2 linked regions of the Cricetulus griseus genome follow. The protein of the gene in region 1 interacts with the protein of each later gene in a pairwise test. Links are inferred from orthologs where the notes say so. Each region holds a gene or a part of one and is shown in the gene's direction. Other genes may lie near its edges. The genes, in order: Mal2 and Tpd52.

Region 1 (15,286 bases):
GATTCTCATTGTTTCCTGGTGCCACACTGAACTTTTGAAATTAATATCCCATTACACAACTCTAGTGAAATGTGGTGATATCTTGCTTGTACAGACAAAGCTTGTCTGAGGATCAGAGGGTAGAGCTTGCCACTAGACTAACCATAGAGATCCATGGGTCTGCAAGGACAGACAGGAAGTGAGATGGCTGGGCAGAGAGAGGATATAGGTGGGAGGAAATAAGAACTCCATCTCTTTTCCCATGGGAAGATAATGGTGTAAAGGTAGCTTTGGCTTGTTCCTTCTCTCTGATCTCTCAGCATTTTCCTCTACATCTGATTGCAGGTTTCTATTATTTTAACCCATTAGAACTCCATTTACAGTGAAGAGACAGTGAACAGCAAGGTAATGACTCTAAGAGTAAGCCTAACATGGGAACACAGAGGGACAAGTGTTATTCTTTTGTTTAAAAAGAAGAAAAGAGAAATGCTGAGACATGAGACATATTGACAAAAGTTTATTATAAGGCCTGGCAGAATGGGGAGACTTAGAGAAGAGGAACAGGGTAACGGCTGACCGCCATGGTCGGTCACCATACAGAGAAGAGAAGAAACAGAGTAGAAAAGAAGAGAAGCAGGAGAAGAGAATGAAAGCAGAGTTAGTTGGAGCTTTATAGGAAAGACTGCGCATGCGCGAGGTTCCACGCATGCCCAGAGCAGAGTCCTCATGGGTGACGTGGTGATGACATAGCACGTTTTCTTACACATGCCCTGACTTGTCAGGGGGCAGGGTCTGTCTCTTAAAGAGGTAGAGCCAATCACCTTTCAACAAGTCCTATGAAAACTTGGACAGGGGAAAGCTGCCAGAAAGTGCTGTGTTATGATATGCAACTTAGGGGGGACATTGGGGGAAGCCCCATTGTGGTGAGAGACAAACACTCCAGGCAGACAGAGCTTAAGTGGGAAGATATTTTGGGGGGAGGGAAGAGAGAAGGAAAGAAAAGGAAGGGGGGAGAGACAAGAGATAGAGAGAGAGAGAGAGAGAGAGAGAGAGAGAGAGAGAGAGAGAGAGAGACCTGCCTCCCTCTTCAGAGAAAGAGGGAGAGAGAGAGAAAGTAGGTAGAACTTGTCTCTTAAAGGGAACTTTTGTGGCTGGATACAGAGTGAGGGTACTGTTTGCCATGCGCACCAAGGGGCGGGGCCAAAGTGTGCCTAGATGCTAACATGCTGTCCCTATGACCCAAAGGGATCTTCTAGGAACGAGTTTTTAAAGTGTAGAAGTAAATATAAAATAAAGGATGTTCTATTAGAAGGAAGGATGTGTGAGAAGCTTGGGACCGGGCAGTTACTACAATTGCAAATGGGTCGGTGGAGCTGGCAAAACCCATCAGAAACCTTGTCACAGAAACTGCTGCATTTGCAATTGACCCAGAGAAAAGCGTGCGGTTCTAGAGCAGTTATATGTAGAGTATTGACTGTGGTCAGTTTTGTGTTTAGAAATCATGTTGATGGCAGTGTTCACCGTGAGTAGCAATGGTGTGCTGTGAGGTAGAAAGAAGCAGTGAAAACAAGGAGACTCTGGTGTGTCATAGGGAGTAAAACCCAGATCTGGTAGCTGATTAAAGCGATGGCATGAGAAGGAGCTACGAAGAGAAATACCCAGTTGTTTGTCCTGGGTAACAGGATAGACAGCAGCGTTCCCAACATTCTAGAAGTTCTAAAACTCCTTGCAAAATGAGTCAGGAAGATTTGAATGGTCTTGATTTGCTTTCATCCACTCAAAACTGTTTACAGGTTCTAGGCACAAAGACTAGACCAAGACAGAAGATGGAAGCTGTGGAATAATAACCGAGAGAAAGGGGGTAGGGTAGAGGAATTCATAAGGACCAACAAAGTCTGGCTACCACAAGTAGTCAATGGTTCCAATGCCCTTTTAGTAACCCTGGGAAGTGTAATGGTAACATCAGAGAGGGTGTATGGAGATGCTGAACTGAACACAGGCTGAACACATGGAACAATGATGCTGGAAGAGAAGAAAGGGGCAAGGTAAAGAGCAGTGTGTGGAACTGATGCAAGTGCTACTAAATCCCCCTCCTAAAGGCACAGGGGGAATAGAGAAGCCAGAAATGCCAGAATGGGCCAATCAGAAAATAAAGGCAGGATAAACAGCGGAAAACCTAGGAACTGGTAATGAGAAAGAGATGAATTGGAGGGTCTTTCACAAAATGTGGTGTTCAGGAATTCCCAGTGGGAAAATGGCCCCAGATATAATTGCTCTTTACAAAGACAGCAGAGATTTGGGGAGCTGAACTGGCACAAGTATCACCTGGGTGAACACTTCATGGAGCGGAGAAGAGCACCCGCTTAATTCCAGCTGTATGGGTGCCTGAGTATATGGTTTGAGGCCAGATTGAGCAATTTAAGCAAGACTCAGCCACATAATATTAAAAGAGTGCTGGCTAGTGGCTCTAATTCAGTGGAAATGTTACCTGCCTAGCATGGGCAAGAGCGCAGATTCAATGCCCAGAACATACAGCAAATGATAGCAAGAAAGAAAGAAAAGGAAGGAAGGAAGGAAAGAAAGAAAGAGGGAGAGGAAGAAAGAAAGAAAGAGGGAGAGGAAGAAAGAAAGAAGGTTTAACAGTCCAATAAGGGGAGTTCAGAGAATATCTTCAAAGTAGGATTGCTGGGGTCAGAGAAATGGATGAAAAGATGATACTATTAAGAAATTGGGGGTGGGAAGGGAAGAAGGGGAGGGGGGAGAAGAACAAGAGGACTGAGACAGGGGTGGAATAGAGGAGGGCTAGAAAGGAGATGCCTTGATAGGGGGAGACAGTACAGGTATGGAGAGAGGTCTGGCACAGGGGAAATGTTAGGGGATCCACTTTGATGACCCCAACTAAGAATCTAGGCAGTGGTGGAGAGGATGCCTCTGATGCCCTTCCCCTATCATGAGATTGGTGTCTACCTTGGTTACCATTCCTAGAGCCTTCATCCAGTAGCTGTTCGAAACAGATACAGGCACCCAGAGCTAAGCACTGAACCATTCCCCTGGAATCCAATTGTGCAGAGGGAGGAGGGATGAGCAAAGAATCCAAGACAGTGCTGCAGAAACAGTTGAGCTGACCTAGTGAGAACGTGGAAACCCTAGTTATAATGCTGTGGAAACAGCATTGGCTCGACCAAGCCCTCTGAATGTGGGTGCTAGCTAGGAGTCCAAGACAGTTTATGGGTTCTCTAACAGTGGAACCAGTCTTTAGCCCTAGAGCACAAATGGACTTTGGGAGCCCATTCCCTATGGAGGGATACTATTGCAGCCCAGATACAGCAAGGAGGGCCTAGGCCCTCCCCCAAATAATATGACAGACTTTGAAAGACCCTGGTAGAGGGCCTCGCTATCCCTGGGGAGGAGTTGGGGGATGGGTTGGGGGGTTGGTGGGGAACATGGATGGATGGGGGGATGGATATGTAAATATGAGTAGTAATTTAAGAATTAAAAAAAAGAAACTCGGGTCAATTTTATGGAGAAAGAACTGGGAGTGAGGGAAAAGGATGCTGGAAGTATTGTCATGATGAAGAGGAAACTGGTATAGATAATGACCATGAGAAGGGAGCCTATTCTAGAAAAGCATTCATTTTTGAGTAGATATGGTATAGAAGAGAGGTGCACAGCAGCCGCCTTCATTCTGCTCACCATACTGGAAAGGGAACAGCATGGCAAGGTAGGGGCTGGGAAACACGTAGTTGCAAGCTTTCTCTTTGTTAACAACTTTAAAGTAAACACATTTGAGGCTTTACATCATGAATGGGTCTGGAAATTTCAAGGTCATTTCAAGTTCACTCAACACGATATTTTGGATACCTTGTATGCCGTTACTGAGTATCTCCATAAGGTATTCTCTGATGTGGCCTCACATTTGAAGATCTTCTAAGTGCTTCCCAGGAGGAAATGAAAAGTCCTTGCCAATCAGGGTCTGGCTACAGAAAAGTTCATCGGTCAAACAAATCGATGCAGAAAGCACGAGGTTTCCTATGAGACAAACAGCACACACAAAATGCCAGGAAGTGGTGAGTAACAGGTATCACCTCCCTAGGTGACAGGAGGTACGTATAAAGGATTTCATCCACACCCTGCTTTGTGGCTTTTCCTCTGGTGCCACCACCACCACACCTATGAGTTTCGCTCATTAAAACAATAAAGACGTAGGGTAAAACCTGCTGACAGCCCAGGCAGGGAGCAACTCGCAGACTCAGTTTGGAGACTGTCTGATAGTGTGTGTGTGTGTGTGTGTGTGTGTGTGTGTGTGTGTGTGTGTGTGTGTGTGTGTGTGTGTCCTTGTTGCTTGACTGGGTCTCCCTAGGTATCCCTAGATGTCCTATTACCGGTTTTGCAGCCTTCTGGTTTCAAATTCAGGGCAATCCTCTGGCCTCATCCTATGAAACGCTGCTATTCCAGGCTTGTGCTGCCATGCCAGGGTTAGCTATTGTTTTTTCCACTGGATCTACTTGTGTGCTGATGTGAGTCATTTAACTTATCTTCAGATGACCTTTGAGAAATGCCCCTTCCTTTGTCCCACTTACAGACATTAACACTGAAACCAAGACTACAATGGGAACGCACGAGGTAAACTGAGGCAAGGGACTCATACATAGCATCCTTTTTTTTTTTTTTTTTTTTTTTTTTTTGGTCTGCTGAGTGTTAAAAGACAGTGTCAAAGAGTACATGTGTGAGGGCTAAATGAAAAGGGTCTGTGTGGAAACGTGATGCGGCTGACATCGTTTGTAGACAGAGCAATGATACAGATCTCGGGATTGGAAAAGTAGCTGCCGTCCTAAAAGCTACAGTTTACAGAGCGCTTCCTGGGCACTGAACTTTTCTGTCCCTCACTGGCGGATATCCTCATAGGGATTTCCCGGAACAGAGTAGGAAACCTCAAAGCAGCCCTCCGGGGACCTACGGCCAGCCATCGACTCCCAAGTGCCACACGACCCTGGTGACATCTTTGAAAATTCCATTACAGTCCCCTTTAAAACAGGCATCCCGCTTTCCAGGTGTGCCTGGCGACTGGCGTTTGCTTTCTGAGTCACAGTCTCTGTCTTCCTGCCCAACTGGGGACAGAGGGTGAGGCCCGGGTGAGAGTGGGGTGGGATGGAGAGGTGGGACCCGCGGGACATTTAGCGCAGGGGCAGCAGGTGATCGCGAGAGCCTGGGCGAGCTGGTGGCCCTGTAGCCGGAGCGCACCGCGCACCTGTACGGGTGACCCCTGCGGGCGCCGGGGCGGGGACGTGCTCACCTGCGCCCACGTGACGGGGCGGGGCTCTGTGTAGAGGGCCCTTGGCCACGCCCTCTCGGCGAGCGGCACGCCCGGACCCCGCGGACCGGATCGGCGGCGGCGGCGCGCGGCGGCGCGGCGGCGGCGGCAAGCCCGGGAGGGAGGCGGAGGCGGACGCGGGAGGCGGTGGCGGCTGTGCGCGGAGACGTAGCAGCGGCAGCATGTCGGCCGGCGGAGCGGCAGTCCCGCCGCCCCCGAACCCCGCTGTGTCCTTCCCGGCGCCCCGGGTCACCCTGCCCGTGGGCCCCGACATCCTGCGGACCTACTCGGGAGCTTTCGTCTGCCTGGAGATTGTGAGTAGGGTAGCAGCGTAGGCGACGATCGAGCCCCGGGGAGCAGGGACAGGCAAGGCAGCATCCTTGCCCCCAGCCCGGTCTGGTCCCCCCGGCGATCACCTTCTCCTGGAAGTGGCCTTTTCCTGCCCACGGTCTCGGGGTCCCCTCCACTCTGTGTCCGGGCCTTTTTGCTTGGCACCTGTTACGCGGCCACCTGCTCGCCGGCCTGGAATGGAAATGTCCCCTAGAGTGCGAGCAGGCAAAGGGCCCAAGATTAGGGACTTGGGCAGGAGAGGGGTGTTAGCGCTTGGAGGAGTCGCGGGGACTGGGCTTTGGACAGGGTCTACGCTTGCCTGGTGGAGGAACTGGCGCCCTCGGCCCCTCCTGTCGCTAACCTGCCATTTTGTTGGGTGGTGCAAAGGTGTACCGATGACTGGGTGGCCAGGAAGCTGGTAGGATGTGGAAAGCCGGGGCGGAAGGCGCCAGGGAAAAGGAGGAGCAGGAGGAGGCTGAAGCCTGGGTATGGTTTTCACCCCACTCACCCTTGCCATCGTCAGTGCCCTTTGGATTGGGGAAGAACGGGGCAGGGAGGACGGTGAGATTGTAGGTGCCGTTGGCAGTGTGTAATCAAGAGGCCGTGAGAACCAACCGTGGGGAAAAGTGGAAGACAGACGTGGGGCTGTCAGCTCCAACTCTCGCCTTTGCCCCTTGTCCATTTTCAGTTTACCTGAGAATTCCAAACCTCCTCGGAGCACCTCGCTTGTACCTAGGAAAGTTGAAGTCACAGGCCCGCCCTGCAACCTTGTGGAACTAGACACTTGAACTTGGGCAAGGAATGCTGTACAGTTGGGAGCTTTCGAAGCTCCTTGTGGACAAGGGGGATGTGTAAATATAAATTGGGCAACTGGGGTTGCATCATGCCCGGAGAATGTCAAATAGAAAGAAATGTTAGCAAGGCAGGGCCTTTCCTGCAGGCGGGTTTTGTTTGCTCCCTTTAGGGTTTTCATGTCACTCATCCTCCTGTGAGTTTGCATAACCTGGATCTGGGTCACTCTGGCTTCCCTTTTGTGCTGTGGAGCTGAAAACCGTGGGAGCCTTGGTTTTCTGCCCCACTATGCTTTGGTAGCCAAGCCACCTTAGGTTTAGCTCCGATTTGAATCGGAAAGCAGAGGCGGTGGCAGCTGGGATCAGACTGACTGTGAGTCTAGAAGACCCTGGTGTGGGTTCGGGTTTAAGCCCAGTACAGCGGCATAGGAATGAGACAGTGATGCTATATATATTAGTCTTGAGATAGGTGTGGTCTACCACTGAGCTCCTAACTTGCCAGCCCCTCGGTGTTGGCCCAAGCTATCCTTCCCTGTTACATATTTACCATATATTTGCCTAAGTTTAATACAAAGTTGATCTTGCAAAACCAAGCCTTTTAGCTCAGGCTGAAAACATTAACACCAAAATTTATCATTTTCAGGGGCCAGGACAAAGGATCAATGAGTAAAGGACTTGTTGCAAAATTGTGAGGACCTGTGTTCAAATCCCAAGAACGCTTGAAAAGCTGCCCTCCGTGGTAGAGTTGCTGCCTAACCTTTGGCTAGAACTTAGCTTCATCCTCAGCAGTAATATACATTGCATCTCAAATTTGATATGTTGGTTATACATTTCTAATAGTTATTCAAATATATTTATACAATTAACTTGTATGTATACATATACATGGCATATATGTATATATATACATATATATATGTATACACACATGTGTATATGGAAACATATGCATAGAAGTGTTGCCCACATGTTATCAAAACAAATGCTACTCAGGACCCACCTGACGGTGTGGCACATTTATGGAACACTAGTTCTGAAGGTGACTTATTGAACTCCTTCTAGCTCCATATCTCCTTTTCCTATCTACCACAGTAGTTAGTTCTTAACTCTGGCTGTATTTAATAACTTGGCAGCTTTGAAAAGTACTGTTGCCAGCCTGGACTAATTAAACCAGTGTCTCTAAGGGAGCACCCAGAGTCAGCTAATTTTTTTTAAAGTTCCCTGGAGATCCCAATACACAGAATAACTGCAACTGACTGATAGTGCCTTTGGACCAGGATCTGCAGAAAGGAGAACGTTTTTTTGTTCATTAGGATGGATAGGAGGATTAGATTCTGGAAGTGTGGGGAAGTATCCCACATACTTCCTGCTTTCTTAGTCTTCTTAGCCGCTCCTCTGGCAACTTACCTAACCCTGACACGGGTTAGACTCTTATCAAAGTAGAGGAGTCTCTTCCCAAAGCCATTTGGACTTGCACGTGTGTGTGTGTGTGTGTGTGTGTGTGTGTGTGTGTGTGTGTGTGTGTGTGTATCCTCGTGCCTGTGTGTTTAAGTGTATATGGAGGCCAGAGAACAACATTGAGTGTCATTCCTCAGGAACTGTCCACCTTTTCTTTTTTAATATTTTGCTTATTTATTGAGGGAACAGAGGGCACACCCATTCCACAACGCTTGTGCGGAGGTCAGGGGAGAACTTGCAGGAATCAGTTCTCTACTTCCACCATGCGGGTTCCAGGGGTCAGATTCAGATTCTCAGACTTGACATTAGGCACTGTTCCCACTGAGTCATCTCACTATCCTTTGGACTCTTTTGGGCATAGGGATCAGGATGAGCAAGATCTCTTACTGGCCTGTAACTTGCCAAGCAGAATAGGCTGGCTGGCCAGGGATCCGCTTGGCTCTGCCTGTATAGCACTGAGAGAACACATCACCCTCTGCAGCTTTTCTTTAGTATGTTCTGGGGGTTGAAGTTGGGACTTCAGGATTAAAATGCAAACACTTTACTGAGTAGGCTGCCTTTCTAGCCCCACGGTTTTATTTTTATGGCCAAACATCCTTCCAAGTTTAAGTCAACGGTATCTTTTACCTCCTTCCCCGAACCTCCTGTTACCTCTCCCCAAGGGGAGGATCAAAATGTACCAATGAAACCAGTGACCTCAGGGAAATGAGAGGCCACTTTGAGCCAAACCAGCAGTTCCTTCTTGGCCTCCATCCTTCTGGAATGCTTAGTGACACTGGATCATAAGATTAAGAAAGCAGCCTGCAGGTGACCTTGGTGGTCTTCTACCTACAAAGCCCACTCCAAGTCATTTACAGGCAAGAGCTAAGACATTCATCTGAAGCACATTCATCCCTAAGTTTCACAGTTGCCGTAGGATTTTTGATTCTAAGTCACAGACTCCGATGGCTCCTCTTCAGAAATTATTCTCCCAATAATTAAATGTGAGCATTTTCTAGGCACAGTCTCAAACACAAAGTGAACTCCAGCCTGGAACCAATTATTTTAGCTTCTGATGATGTTTCTGGATATCTCTAGACTCCTTTTTAATTTTTGACCTTCCATTGAGATCCATTTATGTCCAAGATTTCTTCCTTCGGTGTCATGTTGCTCTCTAAAGCTATGCGAACTGTGCTCAGTGAGGATGGTTTTATCTATCAGCAGGAGACTCAGCTAATGAGACTATGGTCTTGGAATTAAGTCTTCATACTAACTTTGCTCAAGGAATTTAATTCCAGTCTCTGGTACTGCACAGCACTCATAACTCTCTGTAAATACTGCCTGCCACTAGAACCTACTAAGGCAGTTTACAACACGTTTCATAATCGAGGACTCTTCCAACTTTCCAGGCCTTTGGTGTTAGCCCAAGCTATCCTTCCTTGATGCATATTTACCATGTATTTGTATAAATTTAATACAAAGTTGCTATTGTGAAACCAAGCCTTTTGGCTCATGCTGAAGACATTAACACCAAAATTTGTCATTTTCAGGGGCCAGGACAAAGGACTTGTTGCAAAATTGTGAGGAACTGTGTTCAAATCCCAAGAACTTGAAAAGCTGGCCTCTGTGGTAGTTTATGCTTGAAGTTGCTCCTGTGTGAGAGCCTTACCTAGGTGGCAGTGAACAACAAAACAGACCCTTTCTCAAACAGTGGAATTGCTGAGGTTAGACACTCAATGTTGTCCACACTAGTACAGTGCCACTTGGTCTCGTGAACAAAAAAATTACTATTTTTCCAGTCCTCTCAGTGCCTCTAACTACGTACTGTGTACGAAACTCTTTGCATGTCTCCTCACCTGAGAGCCCCTATAATCTGGTTAACAGGATATACCAAAGAAAAGATTACTTCTATTTGGGAAAGAAAAGCTGTCTTCATATGAAAGGTGAAATACAACTGAAGCATTTTCTGTCCAGCCTAGCTGTAATAATATCAGAGTGTATTTACTCCCAGACCACACAAGATATTTAGGGTCCTGTTCTCCATGAAATTATTTTATAAAATGTGTTAAGAAAGATCAAACACAATACCATTAAATGTGGAAAACAGTGACATTGATTTATTCAGTGAATCTCACAGCTTCAGTATTGAAGAAAACACATTCAAATTATTTGTTTAGATTTCTCTTTGTGAGAAATCTCTTTACACATTTTCCCAACTAACTATAGTGTTTTAGTGCCAGAATTACTTTCCTTTGTTTACTGTAATAACATATTAAAGAACACACTGCTTATTGGACCTTCTCTTTATGCCCTGGGAGTCTGATAACTAATATGTAGTGTTTGCCCTTAAAAGATGTTGTGTAGGCCAGGCACGTTTCCACAGCCAGGCAGCCCAGGTAGGTAGACCCCAAAGATGGTTGGTTGATGCAGTGAGTTCCAGGACAGCCAAAACATAGTTAAAGAGAACTTGTTTTTTTTTAAAAAAAAATAAAAGTGTAGCAGGATATAAAGGTCAAAAAGCATTTACAGTTTTACAAAATGCTGAGGTAGACTTATGAAAATACTATGAGAAAGGGAACATTTGGCTCCTGGAGAGCTAGGACAGGACACTTTGATGGGGTGGAGGTAACATTTGAGGGTTAGCCTAAAATGGTGACTGAGACAAAATCCAGGAAGAAAGGAAGCCATGGACAAAGCTCAGAGATTTCGAAAAAGAAAAACATATCAGGCCCTGCCATGCAATTTCTAGCAATCGTTAGCCTCTTGGTGTGACTGATGAGAAGGTGGGAAAAAGAAAAGGAAGATGTTGCTGGCAAAACTGAGGCTGTGGTTTGCTGGCAAATAGGTCAGGCTTTGAATATGTTCCCCCCACGGAGCACCTCAGGACAGGTTTAAATGTGGTCAGACTTGTGTCTTCAAAATCTTTAATGAAATTTGTTTGTCAAGCACGGAGATTAAAGTTAAAAGGCCAGGAAATCAATGAAGGAAGATTGGGTCTTACTATTAATATAATTCAGATAAGTTGTGATGAGACCCTGAAATAAAACCAAGGAACAAAAGGATTGAGAAAATAAAGGAGAAAGACCCGAGGCTTAGTGGGTCAGCTAACATGTGAACTTGGATGCTCTCACAGGTGATACTGAGTCTGAAGTATAAGATGTATCTGAGATGAGCTGAAAGGCTGATGGGGAGGGAATGCGTGGAGGCAATCCCACAGAGGACTCTGGAAGGTATTTCCAGTTATTTTCAACCGATGTCTGAGTGTAGCATGACTAACATGTCAATGTTCTGGTATATCGAGCTTTCTTTTCTTGGCCAGAAAATAGATTTTGATTACAAAGAGACACTGTTTCAGGAGGCCTAGCAACCAATGTGTTTGCCTCTCTAGATGGGTTTTTATCCTGTACATAATTTTTATCCCCCTCTGCCTAGGGAGTCAACAAGCCAAGCTCTAATCACGGGAAAATAGCCTTTACCTTTTTGTAAGGGGAAATTAGCCAGAGCTCATTGTTCAGACTCTGTGTTCCCTGACTCACAGCCCTGCAGGAAATATGAACTGAAAATGCAAAGACTTTGAACCAACCAACTTGCTACAGAGGGAAAGGTCAAGGGGACCAGATTTGGTTTATCCTGTGGTATAAAACTGTGCCTGCTTATGAGAGCTGTGGTCTCCACGTATGTATCTGCTGCCATTCGGCTGAATTAAAAAGGTCCTAAGATGATGAAAAACTGGTTATCTATATGACACACAGACAGAAGTCAGCAAATGCTATGCTATAAGCTATGGCTTATAAGACAGTATGTAAGAATATTCTAGAACAACTGGCTAGTGCAGAAAAAGCAGTTTGGGAGCAGAAATGCTTTATATCACTGCAAATACTAATATTTTTTTCCAGTCACACAGTTTGACCTGAATCCTCATTAGCCAGTTTTATAGAAGAGGGTTGAGTCTTCGAGAAGCAACCCTGTCTGGCAGTCTTTTGTATGAAAAATGTCAGATGGAAGACAGTCAAAAGAAAGAAGGAGGTAGTGGCCTGTCCAATTCTTGCCAGGACATTGGCATGCAGGCGTTTTGAATCTACATGGTAGGGAATTGATAAATACAACTGCAAAGAGTCAAGGACCTCGTTTCTCTCCTATACTGTTTGCTTTCTATTTTAGGGTTTGCATTACCTATTTAGAAGACTGAGATGGAAGTTTGAGTCAGATGAGGTGAAGGTATAATTTTGTAGCGCTGACAAATGTACATCAAATACAAAGCAGAAAATTAAATTTATTTTGTAATTAACAGACTGTGTTCACAGACCGAGCCTACATATGTCTCTTCTGCTGTTGCTTTTCAGAATTCATTCTTTCCCTAATTCAAACAAGGCAAATCTTGTTTACTTCAACCTGTAGATTAGTGTGGTGTAAAGCATGCAACTTGTACCAGGGTTAATCCAGGAGCAATCTCAGTGAATGTCAGGACAGTTAATGAGCAGAATGGCATGTTCCTAGGGGCTAGCCTGATCAAAAGGTATAGTGGCTGTTTCAGTGCTAATAGAGTAAATGGATAAATGGGGAACAAAGAGGATTGAGAATTGGTTTGCAAGATAGACCATGTTTCCATCACCTTCCTCCCCATCATCCAAAGATCTTGTAGTAGGTGGTGATTGCTGCTATCGTCACCCAAAAATTGAGGAGGACATGCTTCTACTTGGTAGTCTCCTTACCTGCTTTTGACATCCATTATGTATCAGGATATGGGCTGGACTTCAGACAACCATGTGTTCCTGGGATCTGAAGTTGCCCTTGCAGCACTCTAAAGCCCAGTGATTGGTCTCTGTTCCTCTGGAGCAGGACACAACTGAACACCTTAGGTAGACAGTGCCCCCTGGGTTCCCAGTGTTCAGAAACATTTAAGGGAATGTCACCAATTTTGACTTCACAGCCCAGTGAGAGATAGGCATGCGAATCTGTGATTTCAATCTAGACGTTGTAAATGGTTCAACGGATACATGCATCATTAACCACCTGAACGCTGAGGATGGCTTCCAGCCAGAGAGGTCTTTCTGGAAGATGTGGTACCATAGGTCAGCTATACAGCAGTTTGTGTATGCTAGGCAGTTGCATGGACAAGTGAGCCTAGTTCTTTGTAGACGACGAGACAGTGGACTGGAATGCAGAGAAAAGGAATTGGGAAAGGAGCATCCCTCCCAAAAGAAGGGGGAGCTTGAGGTGGGTGGGACCCAGAATCTCTAATATTGCTACCACCCAGAACAGCTACATCGTAAATGAACTTGAATTTTATGGTCTGTTTTGTCAAGGTGTCTACCAGCCAAAGGTTGTATTTCTTAACATAAGTTTGTTTCCAGTTTAAAAAACAAAACTAAAACCTTTCAGAATATAAGCCATATATAACATGGAGTTAATTACATATTCTGTCTTTATGTAGGTGATAAATTCTAGGTTTATTAACCATTTTTATAACATAATGTTGAATTCAGCACCCATTAAAACAGAAGCACTTAACAAGTAGGTGACGGGTTCAGATGTTTTGCATGGAACTGCCCTATGCTACCATCTTGTCAGTTTGACATAACTTGAGGCAATCATTTGGAAAGTTGATGGAAATCTCAGTCTAGAATGAACCATAAACTTTAAAGAGGCAGAAAATTATACGGATAAAAGCATACGCTCTGGAACCCAGTGCCAAGCCAAGTCCCATGTCTAACATTTGTTAACTGTGTGACTTTGGCAGTTACCAAGAGCTCTGCCCCTTAACTGACCTCCCTGCAAAAGGGGCCTCATAATATCTCTTGGGCTCTCTGAGGATTAAGTTGATAAAAATAAAATTCTTACAGCAGACTTGGCCATAAAGACCCAATACATGTTAACTAATATGTCCGTTATTGTATTACCTTCTACTTTATATTCATACTCGTGTAAGCCATGCTAGGAGACTGTTATTTCCCAACCCCAAAGCTTACTGGTTGTTTGGTTTCCCTGCAGAAGAAAGATGGCATGGCCAGTTGTGTTGATAACAAGACAACACAGAAAATTCTAAATAATTAAGTCATTTTCTCTAAGGGGTTTTAGGTCTGGTAATTTGTCTCTTAAAATTGGTGTTCTCGTCTATATTCTCCTTTCCAACATTAATGTACATCAGTCATCATAGATATTAGCCAGTTTACTTAAGACAATAGTATGGTATACAAAACTGGAGGTATCAAGTAGGTTAGAAAGTTATTAGTTAAAAATTCAGAGTGTGTGCTTTAAAACAAAATAAAAAGCACCTTGTCAGGAAATCTTTTGAAAAGAGAAGAGATATTTGATAAACTGACTTCTTTGGGAGCATAGGAGAAGTCATCCAAATAGGAGACAGGTTGAGATGTCTGTAATCCACACAGTCAGAATCACGGATGTTGTGTCCTTGCCAAGACCATGTTTTCTTGTGGGGCTGTGCATTTTTACCAGCCAAAAGTTTCTAGGGAAAGCATGCTTCAACTCCAACTGTGAGGCTTCAGGGTTGTGTGATCAGTAGGTGAATATCCACTGCCTTGGTTTTCTTATGGGAAGATGACTCTAGTCAAGCCATACCCTTCTAGTCTACATAAACCACTGGTTCACAGTTTGCTTCAAGGAGACAGTTCATCATGGCCGTGCACATCTACTGCTCTTATAACCAGGTTATAAGAGAGCTCAAGCCAGAAAGGAGACTAGGCTATGACCCTCAAAACATGACCTGAAGTGGCCCACTTCTTCCAGTTAAGCCCCACCTCTAAAAGATTCTGCAGCGACCCAAGATAGCGTGCAGAACATTGCACATTCAAAGCCTAACAGGTAACAAATGAATAACTTCACCTCAGAACGTAATGGAGCCTGTGTGTGCCAGGTACCTATAAAGTTGGGCCAAGATGAGGACAGCCAACCATGAGGAAAGCTGGTGAATGTTTCTAGAAGGCTTTCTGCTTGGTGTTACCTGGTTGTAGAGGAGCCTTTTGTTAGAGTTTGAGCCCTGATTAAATTCCTTACAGAAATTTGAAGTGAAAGCACATTTTACACGTAATTATCATGCTTTTCAGACAGCTAGGGAACTGGAACAGGCAGAGGTAGACATGAGGTCAGACTGTGGACTCAGATCCAAGACGAGAACGTGGGTGCACCGTGGCCGTTTGAATACCTCTCTTTGCAATATGTACACTTGTTGTTGCCAGGACACTTTATCAGTTCGGCTCCCTCAGATTTTACCCCTTTCAGTGCTCTGGTCATCCCTAAGAGCAGGACTCGCTCCACTAAACAGGGGCACTAGCGGTTATCACTTATGTGGGAAATGTTCCAATCTTACTGAAGCCCAGAATTGGAAGCCAGTATTCCAAGCACAGGCAGCCTCACGGGGAAGCCCACTTATTAATGTTGAAGCCAGGTTGTGACGCTTAACAGGAAAAGGTAACTTTCA
Region 2 (14,807 bases), on another chromosome or scaffold:
ACTCACAGTGAACTGGAATTACTGAACAGCTACAGTGTACTAGGTCCCGTGTCTCAGAGACTGCTGGCCCAAAGGTACAGGCTTTGTCACATGTTGCCACAGCATCTTATTTCATGTCTCATTGCTTTTTTCTTTATTAAGTCATCCCTCCTCCACTTTTATCTGTGTATAGTGAAATGCTAAAATGAAATGTTTCCAAATCTATTGTTTTAGACAGGGCATCACTATGTAGCCCTGACCGGCCTAGAACTCACTAGGTAGCCCAGGTTGGCCTTGAGCTCACAGACATCCACTTGCCTAACTGCTGGGATTAACAGAGTGTATCATCATACCTGGCTAAATTTATTTTATATTTATTTACTCATTTATTTGTTGAGACAGGGACTTCCTGTATATCCATAGGTGGCCTGGAACTTGTGTTTTTCCAGCAGTGACTTCTGCCTCCCAAGTGCTGGGACTAAAGGAGTGTACCACCATGCCTGACTTTGGAATTCTTTTCCAGATGTAGGATTGTATGAAAATGGCTAAAGCTTTAGTCATAGTCACTCACCATAGGAAATCTTGATGGGAAGCAGTCTTAGTCAGAATTAAAGGGTAGAGGTCTGTTCAGGTGGAGATCCAGGTTGGGTCACAAGGCTGAACCTATCCATACTCTTCATGACCCATACCACACTCACTTGTGACTGGATTGTAGAGTCTAGAATCTTATAAATTGAAAGACTAGAGTCAGGCTTAGTGGTGCAAGCTTGTAGTGATAGCACTCAGGAAGCTAAGGCAGGAGACGTAGGAGTCTGAGGCCAGCATGGGTTATATCAAGTAAGACAGTGTTCTTGACTGAAATTAATGGAGTGTGTGGTGGGTAAGTGGGAAAAGAGAGAAACCTGCTTTAACTAAACCTTTAGCCTAATACATGAGGTTAAATAAAATATTAACATTTGTTCTGATGTAGGCACCCTGAGGTCTGAGTGATAAGGAAGTGATACCAGGGCTTATAGCCCGGAAGTGGAGCCGTGGTCAGGGCTGACTTCTCTGTTCTTCTCCTGTCGGCAAGCAGCCTGCCTTCCCTTCCTCCCAACACCTTAATGCTTGCTTCCACACTTTCCTACCATGCCAGAACCAACCAATCCTGTCTCCCTCACAAGTTCACCATCAAGGCATTCCAGTGAGTCTGAGACACTTCAGATCATAATATGTTTTTTAAAAAGTATTTTATAGGGCTGTAAAATGTTTTGACTTAAATAAAAAATCAGTGCTTTCTTGCCACTTAGATCTTTGATTTTGTGCTTATTGAAGATTTATTCAGTTGTGTTTGATGACTGTAATTCTCTTGGACATATTTTTTAAAGAAAGTTGATGTGTTCCTAAAGCACTCGCTCATGTCTTGTCTGGCCTGAACCACTTTCATTGAGGAACACTGTAAACCTGCTCTGTGTATTCTCCCACACAATGTCTGTGTTGTGCCTTGTTTAAATGAGGGATCTGTAAAAAGATCTGACATGGTCTAAGCCACTGATGTCCAGTGTCCAGATTACCTAGCCTTGCAATTGCATGGTCTCCAGCTTAACGACAATGCACACAAATCTGTGTACAATGACACCATGTGGTCTCTCGGCTTTATCCTCTCTCTCGTGATGGCTCAGCTGTCATCTGTGCCTTGAGGTGGCTGTGGCCCACTATGTAGCTTCCAGGTTCTCTCCTGCCTGTGCTACTTGAGCATTCTGCTGGAGAGACCTTCTAGATCACACACACACACACACACACACACACACACACACACACACACACTGCTATGCCCTCACTTAATAAGGCACACCAGGGGTGCTACTTGAGCATTCTGCTGGAGAGACCTTCTAGATCACACACACACACACACACACACACACACACACACACACACACACACACACACACACACACACACACTATGCCCTCACTTAATAAGGCATACCAGGGATCCCCTGGTTGGTATTTAAGATGGAAGGATGATCTGCTTTGTTAGAAAATTAACTATCAGTAACTGAGGGGGAAGTGATCCCCAATGTCTGGTCACCTCTATTCAATCCTGCTGATGCTGACTTTTCCAGCTAGAGACTTGAAAGGCTGTGAAGAAAGAATTAGCCTGGTTCTCTGTCCTGCCCTGTTCGTTGGTATTTCTCTAAGGAAAGCTGTATGTGAGCAGACCAGAGTGTCAAATCAGAAAGACCCTCAAGGGTTAGTCTTGTCTCTGACTCTGGGTGAATTATGTAATCTCGGAGGACCTCAGTTTTCTGGTAGAAATCACTCTTCTCATTGGATGTTGATAATTTTGTTTGTTTGTTTGCTTCTATGGAACATGTTCCTAATGGGAAGAAACATTCTGGTTAAAAAATCAGATTTCTTGTTAAAGCATGGTGAGGGAACTTTACTAAGTACTTTTGGGGTAGGTATGGTGACTGCTGTTTTGGATTGTTGTAGAGACCGGGGTCAACCCCTAATAAGGCATTGGCAAGTGTCAAGGAAGAGTGGAGCAATCAGGTGCATTGATGGGACCAAGCATGGGAGCCTTGATGAAGGCTTTAGTCCAGGAAGATGAGACATTACCTGGGGTGGGGCATTGAGGGGCCTGATTAGGTATGGGGACATCAGATATTAGGAATGGGGACTCTGGTTAAACTGACTTAGGAGGTTTGTTTGCTTAAACTGGATTTCTACAAACAAGAACATAGGTGATCTGAGAGAACATTTAGAGGCCTGACTAACATTTGGTCAAGCAGAGAATTTCTGTCAAGACAAATTTCCCCTCATGGTGGCTGGCATAAAAGACTTCAGTAGGCATTAGTCATATTCTGCACCTTTGTTGTTTAAAATAGCTTTCCATTGGATTCTAGGAAAGAGCATTAAAATTGAAGAACAAGTGTTTATTGGATTGTTTGTAGTAGTCTCTTTTCTCATCTTTTATGATTTGAATGTGAAAATGATATATTTTCGCCCCTAAGCTATACTTTCTCTCCATAGTAAATACTATTTACAAACATATAGGAAACAAGATAATACCTAGAAATTTAATTAAAGCAAAATGAATGTTCAGGGATGGAGAAATAAGGTGGCATTGCTTTTGACCTTGTCTCTGGTCTCTGGGTTGTTCCAGTTTCATAGTCTTATGTATTGCCACGGCACGTGGTCCAGGTCTTGCCTCTGTTTCCAGGTCTGTGACTTGGAGCACCTCCTTTGTCTGTTTTCAAAAACCTCAACTGTGTCACCTGAACGATGTGTGATTCTGGTGGCTGCTCAGCTTCTGTAAGCCTCTCTCATCATCTGTAAGTGGTGATAGCAATCTCCATGTTACAGATGTCTGTGTGTAAATGACTGTTTCTGGACCTCTTAGCTCAGATTTGGATGTAAATTGAAGCCCATGTGGAGTGTCTGTGGTTAGTAATTTTCCAAGAGATGTGCGATGACTTCGTAGTTTGCCTGTGATTCGAGCATCTCCCACTTGGTTCTTCTGTCATAACTTTATGGCTTTTTTTTTACTTTTTTTTATTAAAAACATATAGAAAAGATTTATTTCTAAAACATACCAGCATTAAGATTTGATCTAATAATGAAAATAAGCTTAAGCCATCAACCAAATATGTAATAAACAACTGACTGTTGAATTACTGCATTACTGCATCTGCATCATGAAAATAAGCTGGTTGATTTTATAATGAGGTTAGTAAATGAAAAAAAAACAAATGTGTTCAGTGTGCAACATAATAATTAGATATAAAAGCAGTCAGTCAGTGCCTCTGTGACATTAATGTAAATCATTAGTTACACAAAATCACATTAAAATATTCTTACTTCGTATAAACACCTGTTCTATTAAGTTCCCATATATTTCCTTATTGTGTGTACTTAAGGTTTTTTTTTATTTTTTAGCTTATATATATATGTATATATTTATATTTACATAAAAAGAGCAATAATGGCAATATGTTATGCATCAATAGCAGCAACAGCTTTTCCAGGTTCTGTAGTCCTTTGAACAAAATTGTAGAGACATCCAGCACACTCCATTTTTATAAAAAACAAAAAGCAAACAAAAACAAACAAACAAACAAACAAACAAACAACAACAAAAAAGTAAAAAACAAAATCCCAGAAGACAGCACAGTTTTGTTACTCTTGTGGTACTTGGCACCATTTTTTTTTTTTAAATTAGTTTCTCAGTCATCATCTGGAAGGAAACCATTCTGAGCAACATCATTAAAAACAGCTCTGATAAAGCATGGTCACTACCGTGTATCATAAAGCAGGTCTACATATGAGTGAGTACATACCATTTTTGTCTTTTTGTGATTGGGTTACCTCGCTCAGAATGGTTTCTTTGTGTTCCATCCATTTTCCTGCAAATTTCAAGATTCCATTGTTTTTTTCTGCTGAGTAGTACTCCATTGTGTAAATGTACCACATTTTCTGTATCCATTCTTCGGTTGAGGGGCATCTAGGCTGCTTCCAGTTTCTGACTATTACAAATAATGCTGCTATGAACATGGTTGAACATATGTCCTTGTTATATGAATGTGCTTCTTTTGGGTATATGCCTAGGAGTAGAATTGCTGGATCTTGTGGTAGACTCAGTAACTTTATGTTTTTATTCCCAGATGAGTATTTTAAAAACCTGCACCTTTAAATTTTAATGCCCATGATTTTCTGCCCCCTGCAGGTTAATGTGAGAAAAGCAGACTGAATTATTGCTGGCTGACTTTGCTAGATACTTAATTGATAACCAGGTCATCTCAATGTTCCTGAAGCCAAGTATGGGCATTGCCAAAGTCTTTTTTTTCTGATATGTTTATTTTTGTAGATAACCTAATAAAATATTTGAATATCAGAGCTGGAGAGATGGCTCAGCGGTTAAGAGCACCGGCTGCGCTTCCAGGGATCCTTAGTTCATTTCCCAGCAACCACATGGCAGTTCACAACCCTCTATAATGGGATCTGATGTCCTCTTCTGGCATGGAGGCATACATGTAAATGAGCACTCATACATAAATAAATAAAGTTAAAATATTTGAATATCCTTTATGTGGTGGTTTGAAAGAAAATAGCCCCCAAAGAGAGTAGTACTATTAGGAGGCGTAACCTTGTTGGAGGAAGTATGTCACTGTGGGGGTGGGCTTTGAGGTCTCTTTTGCTCAAGCATCCTTCCATGTGATATAATCAGTCAACTTCCTGTTGCCTTGTGGTCAAGATGTAGCCAGTACCACATTATCTGATGATAATGGACTGAACCTCTGAAACTGTAAGCAAGCCTCCTCAATCAAATGTTTTCTTTATGAAAGTTGCCATGGTCGTGTTGTCTCTTCACAGCAATAAAAACCCTAAGATACCTTATCTGAAATTTTTGGGCTACATGTACTTAATATTTTTTATTTTTGTCATTGTTTGGATTAGGGAATATGTGTGTAGACTTTACTGATTGAAAATGCCTGTTTTGAAAATCCAAAACTGAAAAATTGTAATGTTTTTCATATTAAATATTCCCACCCTGTGCCAGCATCCTCTTAGGTTCTTTTTTGGAATTGAAGATTGCCCCATACATTAGCAGTTTGATACTGTGTTTATCTCCTTGCCTATTTAGACTTGCAAAATAATGTTTATTTAAAAGCATGGAAGAGCTTTTTCTCCAGGAGACAAAGTTTAGTACTTGAATTCTGCACATACTCTTTGAGTCCTGTGTTATCAATAACTGTCCTGAGCGAAACGTTATAGACTATAGACTACTATTTTAGTTTTATGTTGCACTGGCTGATCGTGGCTCACATGCTTGGTCTCTATCCTCAGTCCCTTGCTCCTTTTGTCATACAGGAGCACACACAGGTTCTGTTCCCAACAATACATGGCATCGTAGCGGCCTGCTTCACAGTGATTGGGCTGGTGTTGGAGTGTGGGTGCCATTACAAAATACAGGAGCTGCCCCCATGGTGGGATGCTGACTTGAAGTATGGAAAGATTTAAAACTGGAGATCAGATGTCTACTATAGAAATAGTACTTGGACAATCCTTCCAAGATGTCTTAGAGAGGACTCATCTCGGATACTATCCTGTTGCTGCGAAGAGACATCATGACCAAGGCAACTCATAAAAGAAAATGTTTAATTGGGGGTTTCCTTACAGTTTCAGAGGCTTAGTCCATAACCACTGTGTCCAGAAGCAGACAGGCATGTTGCTAGAGCAGTATCTGAGAGCTTTACATCCTGATCCACAGGCAGCAGGCAGAAAAACACAGATACTGGGCCTGGTGTGGGCTTTTGAAACCTGAAAGCTCACCCCAGTGACACACTTCAACTTCCTTCAACAAGGCCACACTTCCTAATCTTTTCCAAACAGTTCCAACCAATGGGGGACCAAACATTCAGGCCTATGAGCCTATGGGGGGTGGGCATCTTTATTCAAACTACCACATTCCACTTCCTGCCCCCATGGAAGCCATAACACAATGTAAAATGCATTTAGTCCAACTTCAAAAGTCCCCGTAGTCTATCACAGTCTCAACACTGTTTAAAAGTTCAAAGTTCAGTCTCTTCTAAGGACTGAAGGCAAACTCTCAACTCTAACCCCCATAAAATCAAAATCAAAAAGCAGATCAAATACTTTGAACATACAATGGGACTGAATATACATTACCGTTCCAAAAGAGGGAAAGGGGACCGTAGTGAGGAAACACTGGACCAAAGCAAGATCCAAACCCAGCAGGACGATCTAAGTCACACAACGCTATGCCTGATGTTGGAAGGTTATTAGATGGCTCTCCCCTTCCAGCTTTGTTGACTACAGCACACTTCTTGATTTCGGGCTGGCTCCACACCCTGTACACAGCTCTCCTTGGCAAGTATCCCGCATTTCTGATATCGCCAATATCTTGGCGTATCCAAGGCAATCCAGGCTTCACCTGCAAGCTTTACCCAGTGGTCTTTTCGGACCTCATGCTGGGACTCCCCTGCCACATACCTTGCTCTTTGGCTTTTCTTAAGGTACCAAAGCTATTGCTCAGTGAGCTTTTCCACCCCTTGAGTGTATCAAGGGCAATCTCTGCTTCCAGAAACCTACTTGAATTCTGCTTGTCGGTCCAAAGTGTAGTTTCTGAACAGGCTTATTTGTATTACTTTTGCTCCTTTAATAGTTCTTTGTGTGGGCCACTGTTTTGGTACTGCCATGCTAATGATTATTATAATTGTCCACCCCCCCCCCAAGACAGGGTTTCTCTGTGGCTTTGGAGGCTGTCCTGGAACTAGCTCTTCAAGACCAGGCTGGTCTCGAACTCACAGAGATTTGACCGCCTCTGCCTCCCGAAGGCTGGGATTAAAGGCAAGCTCCACCAATGCCCGGCTTATAACCGGCTTATAATTGTTAATTACCTTTAAAAGTTAGTATACAGCAAACCCCGTGTCAAGTGCCTCTGTAATGTGCATGTAGCTACACATGGATCTCATTGCTGCATGAGCTTTTCTTACATGTATTGTGGTACTGACTACGTGTTCAGCAGTGTGCATTTTTTCTTCCTGCCTGTCCATGTGCCCTTCATCTGCTGGCTGGCGTCATGCTAGGAGGGGCACCGGGACAGGATGAGGGGAATGGCATTTACTTACAGGAAGAGGAGGAAGCCTTCCCCAGTCCTCAGTGCATCAGAATCTGTGACACTGGGAATGGGTGGGTATACTGTGGCTGGGGTGAGTCAGGTGTACAGTTTAAGAGAGAGGGCACCAGAAAACTCACTAATCAAATCATCTGTCAATACAACGTTTTGAAAAGGTCAGAATCAATGCAAATACAACCTATGATAACAGTACCAAAAGTTAAACAAGGCAAGTTCAGTGGCTGAATTACCCATGCAGAGCAACTCTGGAACCTTTCTAGTCTCAAGTTTACTGTTTTGGGCTGGGTGTCGTGGTGGTGTACACCTTAATCCCAGCACTCTGGAGGCAGAGGCAAGTGGGTCTTTGTGAGTTTGAGACCAATCTGGTTTGCATAGTGAGCTCCAGGACAGCCAGAGCTATATATTGAGACCTTGCCTCAAAAAAAATTTTTTTTTAATTCCCTTTGATTTTACAAATTAGATTGAATTATGTATTAGTTTGTCTTCTTGTGAGAAAATGCCTGAGAAAAGCAGCTTGAGAAGAGAAGGGCTTATTTTAGCTCACTAGTGGAGAGGATGCACCTTGGACTTGGTGTTAGGAGCTTGAGGTGACGGGTCATACTGTATCCATAGTCGGGAAGTCAGGAAGCAGGACAGGGCTCTAGGACCCCAGGGCCTGCCCTGCTGACACACCTCCTCTCTTGAGGCCCCATCTCCTAAGGGTTCCACAACCTTTCAAAGACAGAGCCACCAGGTAGGGCCTATGGCTGGAATGTAAAAGCAGGCTTATGTGAGCTATTTGACATTCAAACCTTAATCAAATACAACGGCAGTTTTGAGTGGCTTCTTTGATTTTCTCCTCTTATGTTTTCTCTGAGCTGGCCTTTAGATGGGGCATGGGCAGGGAAAGGTGAGCACTGAAGATGGTTGCCTCTCTCTAGGAATTTGGTCTTCTTAACAGGGGGCTCTGTTTCAGGGAAGGAACATAGTGGGTTTGGAAGTCTCTGTGTTGTTGTTGGTTAGGTCTCCACATAGAAACAGAGCTGTTTGTCCTGGAGACTGTAGAACCCAGGCTGGCTTGGAACTCCCAGCCCCCTTGTCTCAGCCTCCTGAGGTCTGGGATCGAAGGCAGTATACTGCCCTACCCCATGACACTGGGTGCTTAAAGCTCATGTCAGTGAGTACAGGGTTAGAAAAAGCTGCACCGAGTTTCCTGCCTTGGCTACCACCTGGAAGGAGGAAGAATCGACTTTCATTAGGGCATTTGATTTGCTCCTGTATGGATTATCTGCAAAGGGAGCTAAGGAACACACAGTCTCTCCTGTGGGCTGGTGTGCAGCGCTTAAAATCCTTCATCTACCTTCTGCTGACTTATCTGTGCTGCATTTTAAAGATAGGTTTTTGTTTTGTTGAGACAAGATCTCCTGTTGCCCAGGCTGGGCTTAAACTTGGTCTTAGCTGAAGATGGCCTTGACTAGCGACTGTCCTGTTTCCTCCTAAGTGCTGGGATTGTAGGCATGCTTGTGTTTAGTATAAAGGTAGATGATGGTGGGACCCCATTCTTCTGCTCTGTCTTAATTGTTTGGAGACGGAGATGGAGAGTAGGAGATGGAAGCTGAGAGATGGGCACATTTCTCAGTACATGTTTTGGCATTCTAATTCGGTGGTTTTTATTGGCAATCCCAGAGTTCTCTTTCGTTTTTTCCCAAGATAGCCATATCACGTCAACATACAGAAAGAAAGTATATGGCTGTAACCTCAAAGACTTTGTTCTAGTTGGGACAGTGGAGCAGCTCTAGGAGGATTTAGCTTAGCTTTCACATTTGACATGATGTTTTTTTGTTTTTTTTTTTTTTTCCTTAAGCCCCAGGTCTGCTGAAGACAGAGCCAGTGGCCGAGGAAGGAGAGGATGCTGCCGCCATGCTCAGCACCCCGGGAAACCTGTCAGAGGAGGAGCAAAATGAGCTGAGACAGGAACTTGCCAAGGTGAGGGCCATTCTTCCTTGACCTTTGCCTTCAGTGTTCAGCCTTGTGGTTTCCAAAGCCACTGGTAATGGTGTACGGTAAAAGGCTCAAGGAGCTTGTGCAGCCTAGAGTCTCCACAGGGCAGAGGAGAGAGTGACTCTAGTTGTTCTTCAGGTGGATCTGGGAGTCAGATGCAGTGGGAAGTGGGGGAGAGGTACAACGTCAGACCCTAGAAGCAAGTGCATACCACTCATCCTTGCTGTTGCATTGTGGATATAGGCCAGCTTCCTCCCTCTCCTTTTTCTTTGCTTCAGACTTCAGCCCAACTTCCAGACAGAGTCCCAGCTCCCTCTTTCTATAGCTTCCTTTTATAAAATTCTGTTGTTGCTGTTTTTTGTTTTGTTTTGTTTCGTTATGACAGGGTTTCTCTGTGCAGCTCTGGCTGTACTGGAACTTGCTCTGTAGACTAGGCTGACCTCAGACTCAGAGATCTGCCTGCCTCTGCCTCCTGCCCCCTGCCTCCTGCCTCCTGCCTCCTGAGTCCTGGGATTTAAGGTGTGTGCCACCACTGCCTGGCCTATAAAGTTCTTAAAATGGTCTGTTTCAGTGTACAGTTCTCGACATTTAGCACATTTTGTGACTTGTAACTGTCAACACTTTCAAGTTCTGAAGTTATTTTCCCCTGTTCCAAGGAGCCCCGCCCCTTGTATTCTCTGAGGAGCCACTTAGCCTCCACCTCTCAGCTGTTTTTTTTTCCCCCCTCTGTGGATTTAACTGTTTTCTGGATATTTCACATATAACATGTGACTTCAGTACAGTGGATGTTAGAATGACTTGAGTATTACTCCTGTAAAAGGTTGAAGCCCCAAAGCTTCTGAGATAACTGAGCAGGATAACTGACAACATAGAGAATGGCTCTGCCAGAGAAAGCACGGTGTACCCTGCTTACTAAACAATGTTGTTTTTAATACACAGATAAAAGTTAATAAAAAAAATTAAGTGTAGCCATGCATGATCGTGCACACCTTTAATACTACTAGCACTTGAGAGATAGAAGCAGGTGGATCTCTGCAGAATTTTTTTCTTTGTTTGTTTGTTTGTTTGTTTTGAGACAGGATTTCTCCATGTAGCCCTGGCTGTCCCGGAACTCCTTATGTAGACCAGGCTAGCCTGGAACTCAGAGATCCACCTGCCTTTGCCTCCCAAGTGCTAGGATTAAAGACATGTGCCACCACCACCTGGCAAGATCTCTGTGAATTTGAGGCCAACCTGGTCTATTTAGAGAGTGCCAGCCAGCCGACAATGCATAGTGAGATTCTTGTCTTGAACGATCAAACAAACATACCACCTTCCTGAAAGTAATGATAGCATCTGAGCATGGCTTGCGTTGATGTTCAATAACTACAGTGCAGCTTTTGCTGTATTTTCTCCTCAACCCTGTTCTTCATAGGTGGAAGAAGAAATCCAGACTCTGTCTCAAGTGTTGGCAGCAAAAGAGAAACATCTCGCAGAGATTAAGCGGAAACTTGGGATCAATTCACTTCAGGAATTCAAGCAGAACATCGCCAAGGGGTGGCAAGATGTGACAGCAACCTCTGCGTATGTTCCCTTGATTGTACACATTTCATGACAATGTGAAGGATGCTTTTGCACCTTTTCTTTGGGGAGAAGGAGAGGAGGGGGTGAGGATGTTTCCACCACTTTTCTTTGAACCACACAGCCTTTTCTGAACAGTCTAAAGAATAGAGAGCAAAACACTCATGTACAGGTTAAGGGAATCATATTCAAGTTTCAAAACTGTTGGGTGGTATTCCTCCCTTCCTGTTTTTTTTTTTTTTGTCTTCCCAAGGTTTTAATTCCTCACAATCAGATAATATTTAATATTAAATGGAAAATGCTAGACATAAGACTCATGACTTTTTAAATTGCATGGCATTCTGTGTAACATGACTAACTTTTGTATAGCTTTGAACCTGACTCATCCTCTTTTCCATTGTATCCCTTGTATATATCACCCAATCCTTATTTATTTAGTGGCTATTTAAGAGAAGATGAGTTATAGATAGGGTTCATTGTAAGCTACAATTATTGGCATCCTCTAGTGACCTTAGAACATACTGCCATCAGTTTAGGGAGGGGACTACTGGATATTGGATTTTCCAGTATGCACACAGTGATATTTAGTTCTCAGAATAACCGAGTAGATTAGGTGATAAGATAACCCCCAATAAGGAATAGGCTCAGACAAGTGACATTTGGAGGTTACAAATCACTCAAAGTGGTGGAATCAGGATTTGAACTCAGGTTTGTCCATCTGTATAGCTGGTCATTTTTTACTTTGCTCTAATAGCCTAAGATTTTTCCCATCATAGTCTCTCATGGATGCTAATATCAGAGGCCAATTCCTTAGAATTCTGGTTTTGTGATCACACAGATTATGATACAGCATTATTACCATGCAGGTGCAGCTTTTATTCCTGGTGTGGGAGGAATAGGCTTCTAGCAGTAGATCTACCTTTTGTGTTTGATTTTAGCTTGTGAGTTACCAAGATTAGGAGCCACTGACAACAGTTGCCGTGAGGCCATCCATTCCTCACTTGACAGTGTCTGAGCGGACCCTGACTGTGTCTTCCTCCCTCTCCCTCCCTGTGCTTGGAATTGAACCTGTGGCCTTGCTCATCTGGGCAATGCTCTACCACTGATCTACATCACTAGACCAATACACAACTCTTTTGTTTGATTTTTTTTTCCCATATTAGTTGCCAGAGGAAAACATGTAAGGAACTAATCTTTGACTATACTAACCATAAACCATGTTTGTTACTAGTATTTGATCTTGATGTTGTAAGAAAAAAAAATACCCACCATTAATTTCTGCAGTGCGGAAGCTTGACCCTTTTGGTAGATTCCATGTTTTCATTTGGTTGATAGTTACAAAGAGGAGTATCATTTCTATTTTTATGTTACAGCAAATGTAATGTCTTAGTTAGGGCTTCTATTGCAGGGAAGAGACACCGTGACCATGGCAACTCTTGCAAAGGAAAACATTTAATTGGATGTCTTACAGTTTCAGAGGTTCAGTCCATTATTTCATGGCCCTCTGCAGGCAGACATGGTGCTGGAGAAGGAGCTGAGAGTTCTACATCTGGCAGGCAACAAGAAGTGAACTGAGACACGGGGTGTGGCTTGAGTATATAAGACCTCAAAGCCTGCCTCCACAGTGACACACTTCCTCCAACAAGACCACAACTACTCCAACAAAGCCACACCTCCTAGTGGTGCCCCCCTTTGGGGGGCTATTTTCATTCAAACCACCACACACACTATAATAATTTTGTGTATTGGTATCTTTTATATGAAAGTCAGACAAGTTCTTATGTGGTAGCTCCAGCAAACTAAAAAAACCTTTTTTGTATGCCTATTAAATTTATTTGGATTCTACAATTTACATGAACTATACAGGGGAACTTCTTTCAAATAGATGAAAATATCTCAAGATAATTTGGCTCTATCCTGCAATATTTTTTGTCTATAATCACAAAGTTCAGTATTTTTTGCCTTGTAGAATCTTGGTGTGTATGTGTGTCTAAGTGTGGGGGTTAAAGCAACTTCACTGTTGTTTCTCAGGTGCCAGCCATTTTTTTAAAAAATTTAAATTTTATTATTTTTTATTTTTTTGAGGCAGGGTCTCTCACTATTCTGGAACTCATTAAGAAGGCTAGGTCAGCTGGCCAGACCCTTTTGTCTACTTCTTCAGCACTTGGACTACACACCAGAACTACCATACTACTTTTCTTACATGGGTTTGTGGCCCAGACTCAGATCCTTAGAAGGCAAGCACTTTGTTGACTGAGTTACCTGCCCAGGGCCTGGCCTTGTAGACTTTGAATACATGTGCATCTTTCTTTTGGGAGGGGACACGACTTTGTGAGCCCCACCCTAACTACTTGGTTCATTTCTTTCTAAGCCCCTGTCCAGGGCACTGTAGAAGATCATGGTGGAGGGATTATTGCTGCCCTGATGGAAAACATTAGAAGTTCTTAAAACTGTTCTAAACTTGAGTTTTTCAACAGGTGATGACACTGCACTAGAATTTATAGAAAAGCCTAGCTGACATTTCCCCCCTTGTTTATCTGTAGATATAAGAAGACGTCTGAAACCTTATCTCAGGCTGGACAGAAGGCTTCAGCTGCATTTTTATCCGTTGGTTCAGTCATCACCAAAAAGCTGGAAGATGTAAAGTATGTATACATTTTTCCCTTGCTCACCCAGCAGTTGGCAAACTGAACTGGTGCTGTGATCATTGTTGGTTCCTGCCTGTGGGTCAGGGTGCTGTCATGTTCCCTTCTGTTAGAGTAAGGAAGTGTTCTCCTTCACACCAAAGCTTGGAGTTGTTGCCTGAATTCTTCTAGGCCTAGTATTCTAACCTCCAAATGAGCATCTTGTTGAGTCCCTTTAAGGGCTGTTGAAAAATTCTGGTTGCAAACTTTTACATCTCAGCCTTTCTCAGTCCTGCAGTGTAAGCATGTCTCTGGTATTTACAAATGTGTGATGGTGGGCAGAGCCTGGTGTCTTTCTAGGGATGAGTACAAGTGAATTGCACGCTTGCTTGGCCTGAGGGCTTCCCTGTTTGTGTGTGACATTTGTATGTCATAATGTGGTTCCAAGGTACTTATGTGTGCACTGGTTTGTACTAACCCAAGAGCTTTACATATATTCACAATCAGGCCCAGGTCTTGACTTCTGACTTTCTTTTTTAAAACTGTGCATTTGTATTTGAGATTTAGTTTTCAGATTTTTTTCTTGTCATTTTGCAAAGATCACTTCATGGTGCATTTGTGCTTCCATCTACCACCACGATTAGAATAGTGCTGAACATGGACAACATGGCTTACATGGGCTGTACTTCTGTTGGTGTGCACACTTTCTGTTGGTCTTTTTCTAAGCCTAGATTGCATGACTTTGTGTGTTTTATGTGTGGGAACGATAGGTTTTACAACCAGAATTTTGTTAGTTGGATTGATCTGGTCAATCAATATTTTATGCTGTGTATTAGAATCCATTTCCTCATCCATCATATTTGAGAGCACTGTTGTTCTAAGCATAATATCTTAAGGATAGATTTCTGAACCCTCCGACAACCGTGTCTGGAGCACTTGCCAGATGCTCTCACTCCTTTGGATGCTGACTGACTCTTTAGTGTTTTAGGGGCTATGGAACACACTCGACTTTATACAAGTGG

The links.
Region 2: the proteins of Mal2 (region 1) and Tpd52 interact in a two-hybrid assay, tested with the Homo sapiens proteins (2 studies listed by BioGRID and IntAct). The link is inferred for Cricetulus griseus from reciprocal best matches to the Homo sapiens genes MAL2 and TPD52.

What each region holds. Positions count from the first base shown.
Region 1 is NC_048603.1:790,765-806,050, reverse strand, and holds the start of Mal2 (protein MAL2), read left to right. Parts: upstream 1-5,472; coding exon 5,473-5,604; intron 5,605-15,286. UniProt on the Homo sapiens protein: Member of the machinery of polarized transport. Required for the indirect transcytotic route at the step of the egress of the transcytosing cargo from perinuclear endosomes in order for it to travel to the apical surface via a raft-dependent pathway.
Region 2 is NC_048595.1:138,881,931-138,896,737, forward strand, and holds part of Tpd52 (tumor protein D52), read left to right. Parts: intron 1-9,464; coding exon 9,465-9,586; intron 9,587-11,015; coding exon 11,016-11,164; intron 11,165-13,704; coding exon 13,705-13,806; intron 13,807-14,807.